Diceros bicornis minor: one gene and its partner. The protein of the gene in region 2 purifies or fractionates together with the protein of the main gene of each other region. This does not show direct contact. Links are inferred from orthologs where the notes say so. Each region holds a gene or a part of one and is shown on either strand. Other genes may lie near its edges.

Region 1 (7,708 bases), on a different chromosome or scaffold from region 2:
CAGAGCTTCTTACAGCAAAGGTTTGTTTCACACTCATGCTACATGCTCGTCAGGGGTTGGCTGGGACCCCTATTTAACGTCTCCTCCCTCCAGAATGCAGGCTAATTCTCAAATATTGCTGGTCACCAAAGTAGAGGGAATGAAACCTTTGGAGGTCCCCAAGCTGTAATTAAATGCTTAGCTCAGAAATGGCAACTCATTGGCCAGAATTTGTCTCATGGCCCAACCCAACCAGCCATGTCCCTCAGGGGAAGCCAACTGGAAATATTCGGTGAACCGCAGTAATGACTACCACAACCTTTGTGAAAGTCCTAGGACTGAATCTTTAGGCTGTGTGCCTGTTCCCAAGGAAAACCTCAGACCTAAGGGAGCAGCTGGAAAAATCAAGGTCTATGCACACTGCTGTACCTGTCTAAGCATAGGAAGTACCTGCAGGGGCTCCTGGGTCAGCAGGAACAGTCTGAACCACGTGCTTCAGGCCTCTCTGATCCCCTGGGCTCACATGTCTCATGTTCACCAGCCTCCCCAGGCTCCTTCTGGGTGAGCTGCAGACGCTCAACGACCACCCCACCTTGGATTTTTCTAGGAGGGTGAAAGAGGTGAGGGTGGCAGTGGTAATAGACCAGAGGGAAGTGACGAATTCTTGGGACCATAGTTCATCACACTACATAGAATAATCGGTTAAGATTTGTACTATCTGTAAACCTATCAGGCCCTGTAGGGTATCAGGCCTGTAGGGGAGACAAGAGGACTAAGATAGAGCCCCTGCTCTCAGGAAACTTATGATCTATGAGGTGAGTTAGGACACTACTACCTTGTGTTATGATTTTTCCCTGAGTGCCAAATGAATGGTACCAATATTAAAAGTTATGAGCTTGGCCAAGGCAGAATTCACGGCAGGGTTGATTGGGCTACAAAGGCTTGGTGGAAGAATTAGGGCATGAGCTGGTCTGGGAAAGATGTGGGGCTTTAGGTGGGTTAGAGGAGGGGACAGAACATGAAGAAAGGCACAGAAGTGGAGATTCTCATGCCAGCTTACAGCACATATCTGGACAGACTGAGCCAAAAAATTGGAAATGGAGGGAAAGGCTATGGGAGGTCTCGAATACCAATCCAAGTGGGGTTTGTTTTTGTTCTTTTTGCAAACAGAGTCTGGAGAGCTACCTACCAGGGATGCTTGTCTTAGGTGGAAGTTTGGGCAAATCATAATTGCCCAAACTTGACTGTGCATCAGAGCCCCACCCCCATCCCTACCCTCAATCCCTATTAGGAGCTTGTTAAAAACAGACTTCTTTTAAAAAAGTTTTCCCCACAGTCCTCAGGGCCCATCCCTAGAGATTTTGATTCAGTAGATCTGGGATGGGATCCAGAAAACTATATCTTTCACAAGCTTCCGCAGAGACTCTGATGGAGCTGGTCTGAGAATCTGCCGGGATAGGTAATTTCTACCTAGAAATGGCCCTGGCATATACCAAAAGTTGAATTTTTTTCAATCACGTTTCCTGAAAACTAGCTCCTATTTCTGATCACTCTATTTCTGTTGCAGATGCACGCTGTTTCCATTCAGACTCAGGACCTCTCCTGGAATCCGTTTTCACATACGCTGCACATGCGGTTGGTTGCTGCCTCTTACTGCATATCCTTTCAGCTCTCTCCGTTCTGTTCCTTCCTTTCTGTCCCCCTCCTGCTACACTTGGTCGGACCTTTCCTCACCTCATGCTGGGACTCTGGCAGTAGCCTCCTGACTGATCTCTTATCCCTCTCCATCCCTCCCACACATGGCCCTCAGATAAGTCTCCCTATCGGCACCATGACTGGCTTACACACACACACACTTTCTTCCCAGTGGTGTGCAAGGCAGTTTACCAGTCTTGGGGAACACAAAGATGAGCAAGTCACGGCCCTTGCCCAGAGGAGTACCCAGCGCAAACAGCCAGAGTAGGCGATAAGGGCTTGTATTGGAAGAGGCTCACGAAATTTAAAGGTTTCTCATGTCCACCACTCCCTTTGGAGGAAAGTAATCCACACAGTTCTCTCCACAAAAAGTTGCTGATGGTTTGTGCCAAGTGCACAGAGGCACCTAACAGTGCTATTCTGGCCTCCAACCACCTCTGGCAGCCTTGGCTTCCAACTCTGCTCAAAAGGGGCACTGCCTGTTGGATGTAAGAACCGACCCAAACAGCTCCTCTCTCCTGGGAAGAATTCATTCGAGGGACACGCAGATGGTCACATAAGCCCAGGGTGTGCGCTGCTCACATCCTCCATGAGGCATGAAATACATCCCATCATGGAAGCACTAGGACCCCAAGGAGCCATATCACCATGGAGACAACACCTCTGCTTCCTTGAACAGGAAGAAGCCCCCTTCTCCAGGGTAACCCAGGAGCTGGCCCACACAAGGAGTCATGAGAAGATAAGCGAGTTGTCATGCAGAGTCACCACCAAACAGGCCACAATGAGAGTGGAGCAGTGGTCTTCAGTTGGGTCCAGTGTCAAAGCAAACTGGTGGTGAAAGGAAGGTAAGACCCAGGAAATTTACAGGATAGCCTAGGCCAACTTCCTCATTGTACATATGAGTAAGGAGAGCCCTGAGAGGCTGGCTGACTTGCCCAAGGACCTCAACCAGTTAGTGGTAGAACTTTCAGGACTCCGACCCCCGGTTCCTCCCACAATACTCCCAGTGTATATGTGCCAACCTACACAAGGCCTAAATATGTTCTGATGGCTTTTTTTTTTAATCAAAGACTTTACCATTAAGCTAATGAAGCTTAAGCTTCAGAGTGCCTCCCTTGCACCAACTCTGTACCTACTTTTAAATTTTTAATTTTGTGAAGTATTTTTCTTAATAATATTCCCCAAATTATAGAAGGTTTAGGTCCACAAAACAGAGATCCACCCTGGCAGAGGAGATGTGTTATTTGGGAAAGGAAGGATTCATGTAGGAGAAGAGCTAGAGGGAAAAAACAGGAAAAGGACCTCGGGGCAGATTCCGGAACATTCTGCTGTAGTGAGTGGGCCGATGTTACTCTCTCAGGGATTTACTCCAAAAGGCAAAAGGATGCCAGGGGCTCCAAGCTGGAAATCCCTACCCCCTCCCATTTTAGGGACAATCCCTGAGAGCTGGTGGGCACCAGAAATGAGGTGAAGAAAGAAATGAGGAAAAGAAAATGAGGTGAAGGGAACAGACCTCTCCAACCAGTTTGAGTAAAGTCTCCCCTCTTCCACTCCTGGGGAGATTCCACTTTATACACAAAGAAGAATGCATCCAGGACGACCCCTGGTTGAACGTTCAGCCCAGGCTGACAGAGAAAACAAAGGGCACCTCAGGACCCCGGCTGCTAGACCCCAAGCCCAGGAGTCTGGGGCACCGGGGACGTAGGTTCCTCCTCTTTGGAAAAGAGTCCCACCTAGCAGAGGAAATTCTGGAAGGAAATGCATCTTTGTGACCACATGGGGGCCTCCTTCCCTCCGCCAGCTCCAGTTCGCCTCTTAAGGAGTTTTTTCAATTTATTTATTGATTTTTTTCTCTCTTTCTCATTTAAAAATACTATTCTTGTTATTATACAGTATTATTATTGTTATTACAAAATTTAAAAATTTGTAAAAAGTTAGAAAATGTGGAAAGATGGCCCGTGGTCTCACCGTTAAAGAAAACTACTTAAGACTATATGCTTCCAAACTTGTCTTTATATATATAGATTCATCTTAAAAATAAAAATGGGATCTGGACAGGCTTCTCTTAAAATATCATGAACGTCTTCCGCTACCGGTTCTTCACAAAATAATTTTAAATGATGGTATTGTGTTCCATCGTTCATTCCACTAAAATATGCTTTATAAGTAATGAACACGTCATAGAAAGTTCTAAGTGGCTGCCCACCAGCATTTACCGAACTATATTCCTATTGTTAGAAGAATTTTTTCCATTTCAAACCAAAGGTAGACGTGAGCTACAGCTGTTCAAAGAAGTACTCAACACATACGAAGCGCATATCGCCTGGCAGGCCCTGAAGCAGCAGAGGCGACGTGGCGGTGCCCTCGGGGAGAAGGCGCAGGTCTCCTGGGGCTCGCAGGGGGAGCGGCTGCCGTCGCCGCGGTCACTTGGGGGGGCCGGTCGGTCCCTGGAGCGGGGAGATTCTTTTTGGTAACCGAGTCCCTCCGGCCGCGGGGGGGTCCAAAGCCGGAGGCGCTCGCGAGGCGCGGCCCGAGGCAGGTCGGGCACCGGGTCCGGGCGGTGACTCAGCGCGCGCCCGGCCGTGGGCCGGTGGGCTGTTGGGTCGGGGGTCGGGGGATCGGGGGTCAGGGGGTCGCGGTCAGGTGGGTCGGGGTGTTGGGGTTAGGTGGGCCACGGTTCGGGGGGTCGGGGGATCAGGTGGGCCAGGGGTCAGGGGGTCTGGGGGTCGGGGTCAGGTGGACAGGTGTCCCGGGGGGTCGGGGGTTCGCGGTCAGGGGGTCTTGAGCAGGTGAGCAGGTGGGCCGGGGGATCAGGGGGTCGGGGGTCGGGGGGTAGGGGTCAGGGGGTCTTGAGAAGGTGAGCAGGTGGGCCGGTGGGCCGGTGGGTCCGGCGGCGGGGCGGGGCGGGGCGGGCGCGGCGCCTGCCGTTCGCCTCTCCGGGCTGCAGGTGGGGCTGTGCGGCCGCGCTGCCTCCAGGAAGCCTCACGGGCCTGCGCCGGCTCCCAGGATGCAGTGTGGACCGGCCGGGCGCTGACGGCGGCGGCGCGTCTGCGGGCGGAGCGGCGCGGGCCGGCCAGCGAGGAGCGCGGCGCCGCGGGCGGGGAAGGCAGGGCCGGGCGGGCGCGCCTGCGGAGAGGCCGGGGGCCGGCCTGCGTGGGGCCGTGCGGCGGCGGCGGCGGCGGCGACTTCCTCCGGCCGGGCCGGACAGCGCAGGGCCATGGCCGAGGCGGCCGCGGCTCCGGTAAGGCGGCCCGCGCACGGACGCGCGGACTCGGGCCCGGGGCCAGCGCACGGCGCCGCAGGCCCTGAGGAGGGGCTCCGGGGCCGGGCCGGGCCGCCGGGCCTGGGGCTCCGGCGAGCGGGGCGCGGGGTCCGCCGGGGCCTACGGCGCCCGCCCGCCGGCCCGGCCCCCCGTTCCGGGCCGAGCCTGAGCGGGGCGGAACCGGCCGTCCCCGCGCCGGAGGCCGCCCCACGCCGAGTTCCTGCAGCCCTCCGCGGCTTCCTGCCCCCGCCCCATCCGCCGGCCCCTTAGTCCCCGCGCCCCCCACCCCGCGGCTCCTTTCTCTGCCCACCGCTCTGCCCTGCGTCCCCTACCCCCCAGCTCCCCCCAGCGGCCTGCTGGCACCTGGGAGGTGTCCTGAGCGGCTTCGATTCCGCCGACACCGAGTACCCGGGGTGCCCAGCTCGCTCAGCTGCTCCCGTTCGTAGAAGCGGGCACGGCGCCGGCCCCGTTAGGCATTATTTTGTCCTCACAACAAACCTGTGGGGTAGGTACTCCTTCTCTGTCGTACAAAAGAAAGCCTGAGGCCTAGAGAAGTTCACTTGCCCGGATCGCAGAGCTAGAGAGTCTGTGAAGAGAGAGGCGCGCTGTGTTCAGGGCACATTGTGTTGAGGGGAGCAGACAGGTACCCTGGAAATAATAACGCAAAACAGAAAGAGGTGAGGGCTTCTTGCCTGGAGGAGGAAACAGGCTGTGGAGTGCGGGGCAGGGAGGGAAGGGGCCGGCCTGCGCTGCCGCGCGCCCTTCCTGCCCCGTGCTCCTGTGGTTTGAGCTGCGCTTTTAGGGAAGGCTAGGATTTCTTCAGGCTGAGCTGGACCCGTGGAGCTTTTCAGGTAGGGAGGACGGCTTGGGCACAGAGAGACAGGCAGTGTGGGGCATGTTCAAGGGTAGGAAAGGAGTTGTACGCCTGGAAAAGATGGTTTTGGTAGGGGCCAGTGAGAGAGGAGGCTGCAGGGAGACCTGGAAGGGGTTTCAGTGCCTGGACTTCATCCTAAGGGTGGGGAGCCCTTGAAGGATTTGGAGTTCTCTCGCCATCAGCTCCCGTTAGAGTTCCCGCTTTCCTGGCTGGGGTCTGAGGACAGCCCCATATTGTCTACCCAGCATCTAGTAAGGAGCTGGGCTGGAGCAGAAACAGTTGTCACCTCCCACCAACTGGTGTGAAGGCCTCACGTGGGACTCCCTGCCCTGTTAAAATGGTAAGAAAACTGCACATGCCTTGTTTATAAGGGAGGAGTTTATGCAGATGCCCTTGTCCTGCAACGCAAAGACTGTAGTCAACACAGCCGGCTGCAGTTGGAGGGGGAGCTGGGCATGAAGTGCAAGGACACCTCTGGAGCAAACCCATGGAGGCTGGGGTCGTATAGCAGGGATTGATCAGAGAGGAGGAGAGAGGGAAAGGGAAGGAACGGTGGCTGTTGTGGAGGGCAACCTCACACACCCAGTGCTGAGCCACCCAAGGTGCCCGCCCAGTGCAGTCCCTGCAGCCTTGGGGCAGGACCACCTACCTCTGGAGAGCAAGAGTCCCCCCCATCCACTTGTGCCCTCAAACGGGTCTCTGCCCATCCAGCTCCTCCCCATCCTCTGAAACCCAGCTAAGCCCTTGCTTCTTCAGGTCAGAGGTCATCTGGTCCAGCCTCCCTCCAAACAATCACAGAATTGCTGATGCTCCATCCTTGACAGTTTTTTTTGGCCTCTGCTCAAACTCTCCTTCTGGCGCTATTTTCTGACGTGTCCACTCATGTTCTGGTTCTCTGTGGCTTTCTCTAAATGAATCCACACTGGTTCCTACTAGTCACTTCTCTATTTTGCAAATAAGTCGCCAACCTTTTGTTTAGGAATAATTTCTAGCATGTTGTAAGGAACCATCAATCCTCAGGCACTGCCAGAAGAAGGCACAAATGGCAAGACCTCCTCTTGGACCCCTGGGTCCACCCTTCAGCTGTGGGTGAAGTGGGTCCAGCCCCCACCCAAAGCAGAAAGTGCCCTTTCCTCAGTGTCCCCAGCTGCCCCAATACAAGCTACTGTGTGAACTTTGCGGCGACAGGGAAGTCACGGCGTGGGGAAGCTCCGTGTCTTTATGATGGTTGTCACACATTTAAAAGCCTTGCCCTATGGCACATGTCTTACCTTCCTCACCAGTCTGCAAGGTGTGTCACTGATCCGGGGCAGCTACAAAGATGTCTGAGACCTACTTCTCCCCTTGGGAGGGGTGGGAACAGTGAGAGAAAAATTCAGAATCTCGGGGGGCTCAGGGGACTAGTGTTGTATCAAAAAGTCTCTTGGTTGGTGGGGATTTGCAGTAATGGTGGTTTTTAGTTTGGGCGTAGGCAGTTGGAGAGGGGACAAATCAGATTGTCCTGAGGGAGAGGAATTACCCATTAAGTTTTTATGTTTATCAAAAAGAGACACGAGATGCTTTAAAAAAAAAAAAAAGAAATTGAGCAACGCTCTTGTTTGTGCCGTTTCAGTGAACCAGCTGTTTTTTTTGCTAGGTCATCATCAGTAGACAGTTCCTGTGCGATTATGATGGGAGGTGCCGGCTGGGCTCTAGTCAATCTGCAGTTTACTGTTTCTCCACTAAAACGCCCCAGCAGTGCTCAGTCACTGTTTGTTTAGCAGAATTGCACCGAGTGCCTACCATGGGCCCTGCACTGTGCTGTGAAAAGACGCAGTGCTGCCTTCGGAGAGCTGGTCAAGGCTGTGGGGGGTTACTGTGTAGGGCGGTCAGTGCCATGCTTGGAGTCTGCACGGTGT
Region 2 (6,995 bases):
CCACTTAACTAGCTATATGACTTATCCTTTCTGTGCACTGTTTCCTCATCTGTAAAATCAGGGGAACGATAGTATAGTAGGCCCCCCTTATCCGCAGGGGGATATGTTCCAAGACCCCCAGTGGATGCCTGAAACTGTAGACAGTACCAACTCTATGTATATTACTTTTTTTCCTATACATACATACCTATGATAAAGTTTGATTTATAAATTAGGCACAGTAAGAGACTAACGACAACAATAATAAAATAGAACAACTATAATAATATACTGTAATAAAAGTTACTGCAGATTTTAGCAACTTCAGTATACGTGCTCTTTCTTAAGTCAAGAAACTTTCACGTTTTCACTTAAAGGAAGCCCTTTACGGCTTCTTTGGCATATCTGAATTGTCAGCATCACTACTCTTGCACTTTGGGGCCATTATTAAGTAAAACAAAGGTTACTTGAATACAAGTATTATAATACTGTGACAGTGGATCTGACAACTGAGGAAGCTACTCAGTAATTAACAGGCGGGTAGCATATACAATATGGATATGCTGGACAAAGGGACGATTCATGTCGCAGGAGGGACAGCATATTTCATCAAGCTCCTCAGAATGGCCCGCAATTTAAAACTTATGAAGCGTTTATTTCTGGAATTTTTCCATTTAATATTCTCGGACCGCGATTGACTGTGGGTAACTGAAACCACAAAAAAATGAAACCGTGGATGAGGGTGAACTACTGTACCTACTTCTTGGGGTTACTGTGAAAGGTAAATAAGTAAATACAGGAAAAGCATGCTGAACACTGCCTGATATATACCGATTATACACACTAATTGCTATTATAATGATTGACACTGACATTATTTTAGGCCTTGTACAAGTTATGGGGATACACAGACCAACAAAATAACATGTCCCTAGCCCCAAGGAATCACAGAAACCCCTTGGACACTCTCTTTACAGAAAAATGATTAACCATCACCCCTTTTTAGGGGCAGCATCACCAAGCCAGTCCCACTCAGAAAGAGGTCATTTCAGCCAGCAGCCAGTACCTGTTTTCATAGATGTCCTGGATCTCATACACTTTCTGGTCAATGACATCACTGGAGACACGGCTGGCCTGCAGCTCATACACCTTCTGGTCAATCAAATCCGAGACGGTCTTGTGGAAATACTGGATGAAGTTTTTGATCACTTCGGGGATCACCTGGTAGGTTTGCTGTTCATACTGCCGTTCGTAGGCTAAATCCTGCTTTGGATCTCCTAGAGGTTGGATATAATCAACACTTTACAAAAGTGCTTTCAAACCCATATATATGACATAACAAAAGGACAATCCCATCCCCCAAACCAAACTCTATAAAATCGATATAATTCCCTTTTAAACACTCAAGGGATACAATCCTCCTAGGTCACTCTCAATCCCATCACTTTGTTTCTTCAGAACATTAACCACTACTTAGTTATTTATTTACTTATTATCTGTTTCCCCACTAGAATCTAAAGTCTATGAGGGCAAGAAGCTTGTCTGTCTTGTACCCAGGGGCACCCTCAGAACCTAGAACAATTAACACGTGTGTTGGAGGAGAGAGGAAGACTGTAGTAAGGGGGGGTTAGTAGGTACTTAATATTTTTTGAATGAATGAATGATTGCCGTTTTCTACCTCTATGGCACGATGCAAGTTACTAAACTTCTCTGTGCTCAGTTTTCTCATCTCTAAAACGGACACCACACTAATTTACGTACTTTATAAAACTTTTGTAAGGACTAAATTAAATACTTCACGCAAAGTACCGGGACAATGCATGGCACTTACTAAGTGCTAAGTCAAGCCAACTCACTAGGACATTTCAGGAAACGTCAAAAACCTTCCATCTGGGGCCGGCCCCGTGGCTTAGCGGTTAAGTGCGCGAGCTCCGCTGCTGGCGGCCCGGGTTCGGATCCCGGGCGCGCACCGTCGCACCACTTGTCTGGCCATGCTGAGGCCGCGTCCCACATACAGCAACTAGAAGGATGTGCAGCTATGACATACAACTATCTACTGGGGCTTTGGGGGAAAAATAAACAAAATTATTTTAAAAAAAAAAAACCTTCCATTTGGACTTGGTTTGAATCATTAATTTTTCACAACAAGATTTTCTTCTTCGGCTAATAGTTTAAACAAAGAAACCACAGCCAGGATAGCGATTCCTCCCTTCTGAGACTTGGAAGTGGACCATGAAAAAGGCCTGGTTTATGAGGTTCTATACCACCCTCCTGCTGAAAGCTAATAACTGACGCCAAAGCTGGACCATCAAGAAGCAGTTTTAAACAGCCGTGCGTTAGAGCTGTTGCAAAACGTTAATAAAGGTGCCAAACCCTAAGTTGCCGTACCTAGCTAGCCAGACCAACCTGTAGTCTCACCTGTATGCATATCATAGTCGCCCGGGTAAGCATACGGATCATAAGCAGCCTGTCAACGAAAAGAGACAAAAACAAGAACAGTCACCAATTCGTGAATCCAAAATGCTCGTTCTAGGGCCTACGTGCCACGCAGGATACTAAGGATACAAAAGTGGATGAGACACAGTCCCTGCCTTTGAGGACCTCGCATGGGAGCAAAGCGAAAACAATGACAACACAACGTTAGGAGCGCAATAAGGCAAAGCACGACAGACCGTGGGAACCAGCGGGATTCAAGACCGAGCGCAGACCATGAGAAGAGCTCAGTTACAGAAACACAGAACCCCATAACCAGCCTCCGTGCCCGGTCTTGGGAAAGGAGAGGACGAAGGGACCGGCCCTGCGAAGTGGGCGGGTAGAGACAGGGCTGACGAGGAGCCAGGAGCTGTGGCAGCAGCATAGGGGCCGCGCAGGCAGGGAGGCGGGCCGGAGCCGGTCGGCCCGCGGGGCTCCCGGAGACGCCCGGACACCGCCTGCCCGCGGGGCCCAGCATCCAGAGAGCCCTGCCCCCGTCGCGGAGCCCAGCACACTCTTAGGGTCGGGTTACCTCGGACTCGTAATCATCAGCAGGGTAAGACATGGCTGCGGCGCTCACGAACACCGCGGGAGAGAGCGAAAAGACCGTCCCGCCCCGCGCGGCGAGGCCGGAAGTTCAGGCCCGCTCGGGCCTGCCGGGAAACCGGAAGCCCTTCCGGGCCGCCGGCGAGCTGAGACAGCCACGTTAGGAAGGGCGGAAAAGACAAACACCTAAATTTTCCTTCCTTCTTCAAACAGAGAATTTACAAGGATCGTGGCCCTATAGTACTTGCGTAAAGTCGGAAATAAGGACATGACATGGTTCGCCGTAATAGAGGATGGGCAAAGTAAGAGAAGCCAGAAGTCATGCCACACAAAAGATGGCTGACAACTTCCTCGGCCGACTTCTCGCGTGAAGGGAAATTCGGACGTGGGGGCCTGATATTGGATTTAGGTGTAAGCGGTTTGCCTGCGGCGAGAAATGTCTTCAAACTTTCTGCTCTCAAAAGACTATACTTCCTGGGTGTAAAAGTTGAGACTTGGTCCCGTGCAGTGAGAGGGCATTGAGAAAAGGCGCTTCCGACTTTGGACTTGAAGGTTGGAGCAGGCAAAGATGAGGCCAGCTGTGGTGTGAGGCCCTGCGACCCACGGGTAAAGCACGGAGCGCTCAGGCTGTGGGTCGTGTTGCGAATCCGGCGGTAGCGTGGGTTCGAGTCCTGGGAAGTCCTGGAGTTAGGGACAGGGTTATAAAACAAACCAACAGAAACTGGTATGTGAGTCAAGGGCCTTCGTTTAGCCATCTGCCCATCCACAACACCCAGTGGAAATCTGGATTCTAGTCACAGCCACTGATTTGCTGTGTGACCAGGCTGTGTCTCTCCCTCTGTAGGCCTCATCGCCCGCATCCTCTTGTCACACAGCCTTCCCAGCTTTCCGAAGCGAGGCACGCTCCGCCTCACCTGGTCTAGATTGTAGAATGCAGACCTCCCAGATGTCCGCAAGGCTGGCTCCGTCACCTCCTTCAGCTGTTTACTCTGATGCCAGCGACTCAGAGCATCCTACATGTTTCGAGTTGCAACTTCCCGCCCCAGCTCCCTGTGCCGCGTTTTACTTTGCCTTCATTCTTTGCACTATCACCAAGAGGTGAGACCGTCATGGAACTAAAGCTTAAACTTTAGGGCCTCTCGATTCCCCGGGGTTCTTCCATGGCTCAAGGAGGGCCCCCAGCTACGTGCTTGCATGGTCTTATGTTTTTGTAAACTTTGCAAAAGTAATATTTTTACTGCAGTCGCTTAAAACCACTTTCTACTCCGATTTCCCCGGTCATACTGCCCCTTGTGTTTAATGGCGTTTGGGATCCAGCTAGAGGAAATCCAGTTGGGAACATTTGAGTTTAGTAGAATATGTTTATGTGATACTGTTCCACGTATAGTTGTTATCACTGGCCTTCCTAGTGTAAGCTGTACCTGCCATCCCCTGTGATCAGTGAGTGTCCTCAATGAAAGGAGTATTTAAGGTTAATCAGGGTACTAGAAAGCTTGAAATTTTATAGTTATATAGGACAAAAATTTCATACAGGTTGTCCCCAACTTTGACAACAATTCTCAAAATATTCATGACATTACTAAAAAGGAATTGTAAAACTGGAAGAAGTTTTTCTAAATTATTAATAAAAAATTTTGATGGAACATGCTAGAGGATAGACTAAATTATCTTTCCATTCTCATTATGATACGAAATTGTGGTCATATAAAGAGGCGACCAAAGCATAGTCAGCCTGCCAACACAAATAATCCATAATCAATCTATAAATCAAAATTGGGGTGAGTTTATTATGAGCCGGGTTTGAGGACTGTAGCCCAGGGCCTGCCTTCCCCAAGCATGGAAGGACACAAAAGTGGGGTGAACAGAGTGGTTATATACCGTCTTGGAACAAAGAGCATACATCACATATGATAGGAACGTCCCTTTTACAATAGTCACAAGATTGCTTTGCTGGCACAGCAGGTCAGTGGTCACAAGGTGAGCACAGCAGGTCGGTAATTCTTGTTTCTAGGAAGAGATGCTTATCCTTAAGGAAATGATATGGGGGAAGATACATCCCTATCTTTAAGGGCATCATTCTTGTCTTTGGGACATTGTAAATGATTAAAGTAGATGTACAATGCATGCTCAAGAGGCCATGACAGGCCCTTTTGGAAAAACAAGGTCAGGCCGAATTAGTTTTTTTTTTTTTTTTAAAGATTTTATTTGTTTATTTTTTCCCCCCAAAGCCCCAGTAGATAGTTGTATGTCATAGCTGCACATCCTTCTAGTTGCTGTATGTGGGACACGGCCTCAGCATGGCCGGAGAAGCGGTGCGTCGGTGCGCGCCTGGGATCCGAACCCGGGCCGCCAGCAGCGGAGCGCGCGCACTCAACCGCTAAGCCACGGGGCCGGCCCCCGAATTAGTTTTAAACCAAATGGTTTCCTCATACACTCCAATATATCCTGTTGCTTTTCATGCTTTTCCTGTTGCTTTTTTCAGCCTAAAATAGAAAACATCTTATGGAGGTGTTTAAGAAAATTAACAAATATGTTACTTTTCTGGATTTTGTGATGTTTGTATTATTTGTCAGCTTTTTAAAATGACAAATTGCAATTTGTGATTGCATGATTTCTCCCACAATTTGTGTTGTGATTCCTTGTTCTAAATAAATATTCTCTTTCCTACCTAGTTCTGGTTTTGTAATTTTCTGTTCTTTGTTCTTCATGTAAGCTTCAGTCACCAGAAACTTGGATTCTTTGATTACAACCATCTAATATATATTTTATTTATTTATTCATGACTTTCTACCTCTTCCAGAATGTGTGCTCTAACTTAGAGATTAGTAAAGGCTCTGAGAGAACGTTCCTCACTGGCTACTCTTTCTCACCCTCCTTTGTTGGTTTTCTTGTGTGTGTGTGAGGAAGACTGGCCCTCAGCTGATATCTATTGCCAATCTTCCTCCATTTTTTTTCCCTTTTTCTCCCCAAAGCCCCAGTAGATAGTTGTATGTCATAGTTGCACATCCTTCTAGTTGCTGTATGTTGGACGCAGCCTCAGCATGGCCAGAGAAGCAGTGCGTGGTATGCGCCTGGGCTCCAAACCTGGCCCGCCAGTAGCGGAGTGCGCGCACTTAACCACTAAGCCATGGGGCTGGCCCTCACCCTCCTTTCTTAAGTCCTCTTCCTCTCTCCAATCACTAAATAGTGGACTGCCCCTTCTCCCTGGGCTTGGTCTCCTCTATCTGCCATCACTCCCTGGGTGTCTTATCCAGTCCAGTAGGTTTAAATATCATCCATATGCTATTGACTCCCCACATTTATATCTCCAACCCAGACCGCACTCCTGAGTTGGGCTCAGTGGCCCATGTGAGTACCCGGATGTCTAATGGGCACCTCAAACTTAACATGTCCAAACTGATCTTCCGATTTTCTGCCTCAACCTTGCTCTTCTCACGGTTTTTCCCATCTTAGTTAACGGCAACTTCATTCTTTCGGTCGCTCAGGCCAAAGCCCTCAGAACCACCCCTGACTTGACTCTTCCTCACACCACACGTTCAGTGCAGCTGCACTTTGTTGGCTCTACCTTCAAAATATTCCCAGACTCTCCATTCTCACCACCTTGTCTCCATCATTCTTGTCCAAGGCACCATCATCTCATTGGTAGTGTAACGGCTTCCTCACCCTTCCTGCCTCCAATTCTCAGTCCATATTTGTAGAATTGCATTTGAATTCAAACTTAGGCCACTGCTTGGCAGCACATTAAGTCTGCTTAGAAATGCAACTTCGACCCGAAAGCAGCTGGAACCCCATTACAGACTATGAAATGTCTGAGCACTGCGTGTTTGATTTTGCAAGGCTCTCTTGTTAATGGAAGCACTACTTCAAAGGGAAGGAAACTGTGGGCAGACCAAAGCTCCTGGAATAATTTTACCTGGGAGAGTTGCTGAGACGATTTAGCAGCTGAAAAGCTGCCCTGTTTCTCTTGATCTTCCTTTGCCTGGGATTTGAGGCAGAAA

What was found.
Region 1: the proteins of EIF3L (region 2) and ZNF746 purify together in Homo sapiens (affinity purification with mass spectrometry; 3 studies listed by BioGRID and IntAct, counting the BioPlex papers as one, with this or other methods). This does not show direct contact. The link is inferred for Diceros bicornis minor from reciprocal best matches to the Homo sapiens genes EIF3L and ZNF746.

The regions. Positions count from the first base shown.
Region 1 is NC_080742.1:95,598,749-95,606,456, reverse strand, and holds the start of ZNF746 (zinc finger protein 746), read left to right. Parts: upstream 1-4,691; 5' UTR 4,692-4,891; coding exon 4,892-4,915; intron 4,916-5,009; exon of another isoform or gene 5,010-6,147; coding exon of another isoform or gene 6,148-6,150; intron 6,151-7,708.
Region 2 is NC_080764.1:11,926,048-11,933,042, forward strand, and holds the start of EIF3L (eukaryotic translation initiation factor 3 subunit L), read right to left. Parts: upstream 3,087-6,995; 5' UTR 3,017-3,086; coding exon 2,984-3,016; intron 2,447-2,983; coding exon 2,398-2,446; intron 1,257-2,397; coding exon 1,046-1,256; intron 1-1,045. UniProt on the Homo sapiens protein: Component of the eukaryotic translation initiation factor 3 (eIF-3) complex, which is required for several steps in the initiation of protein synthesis.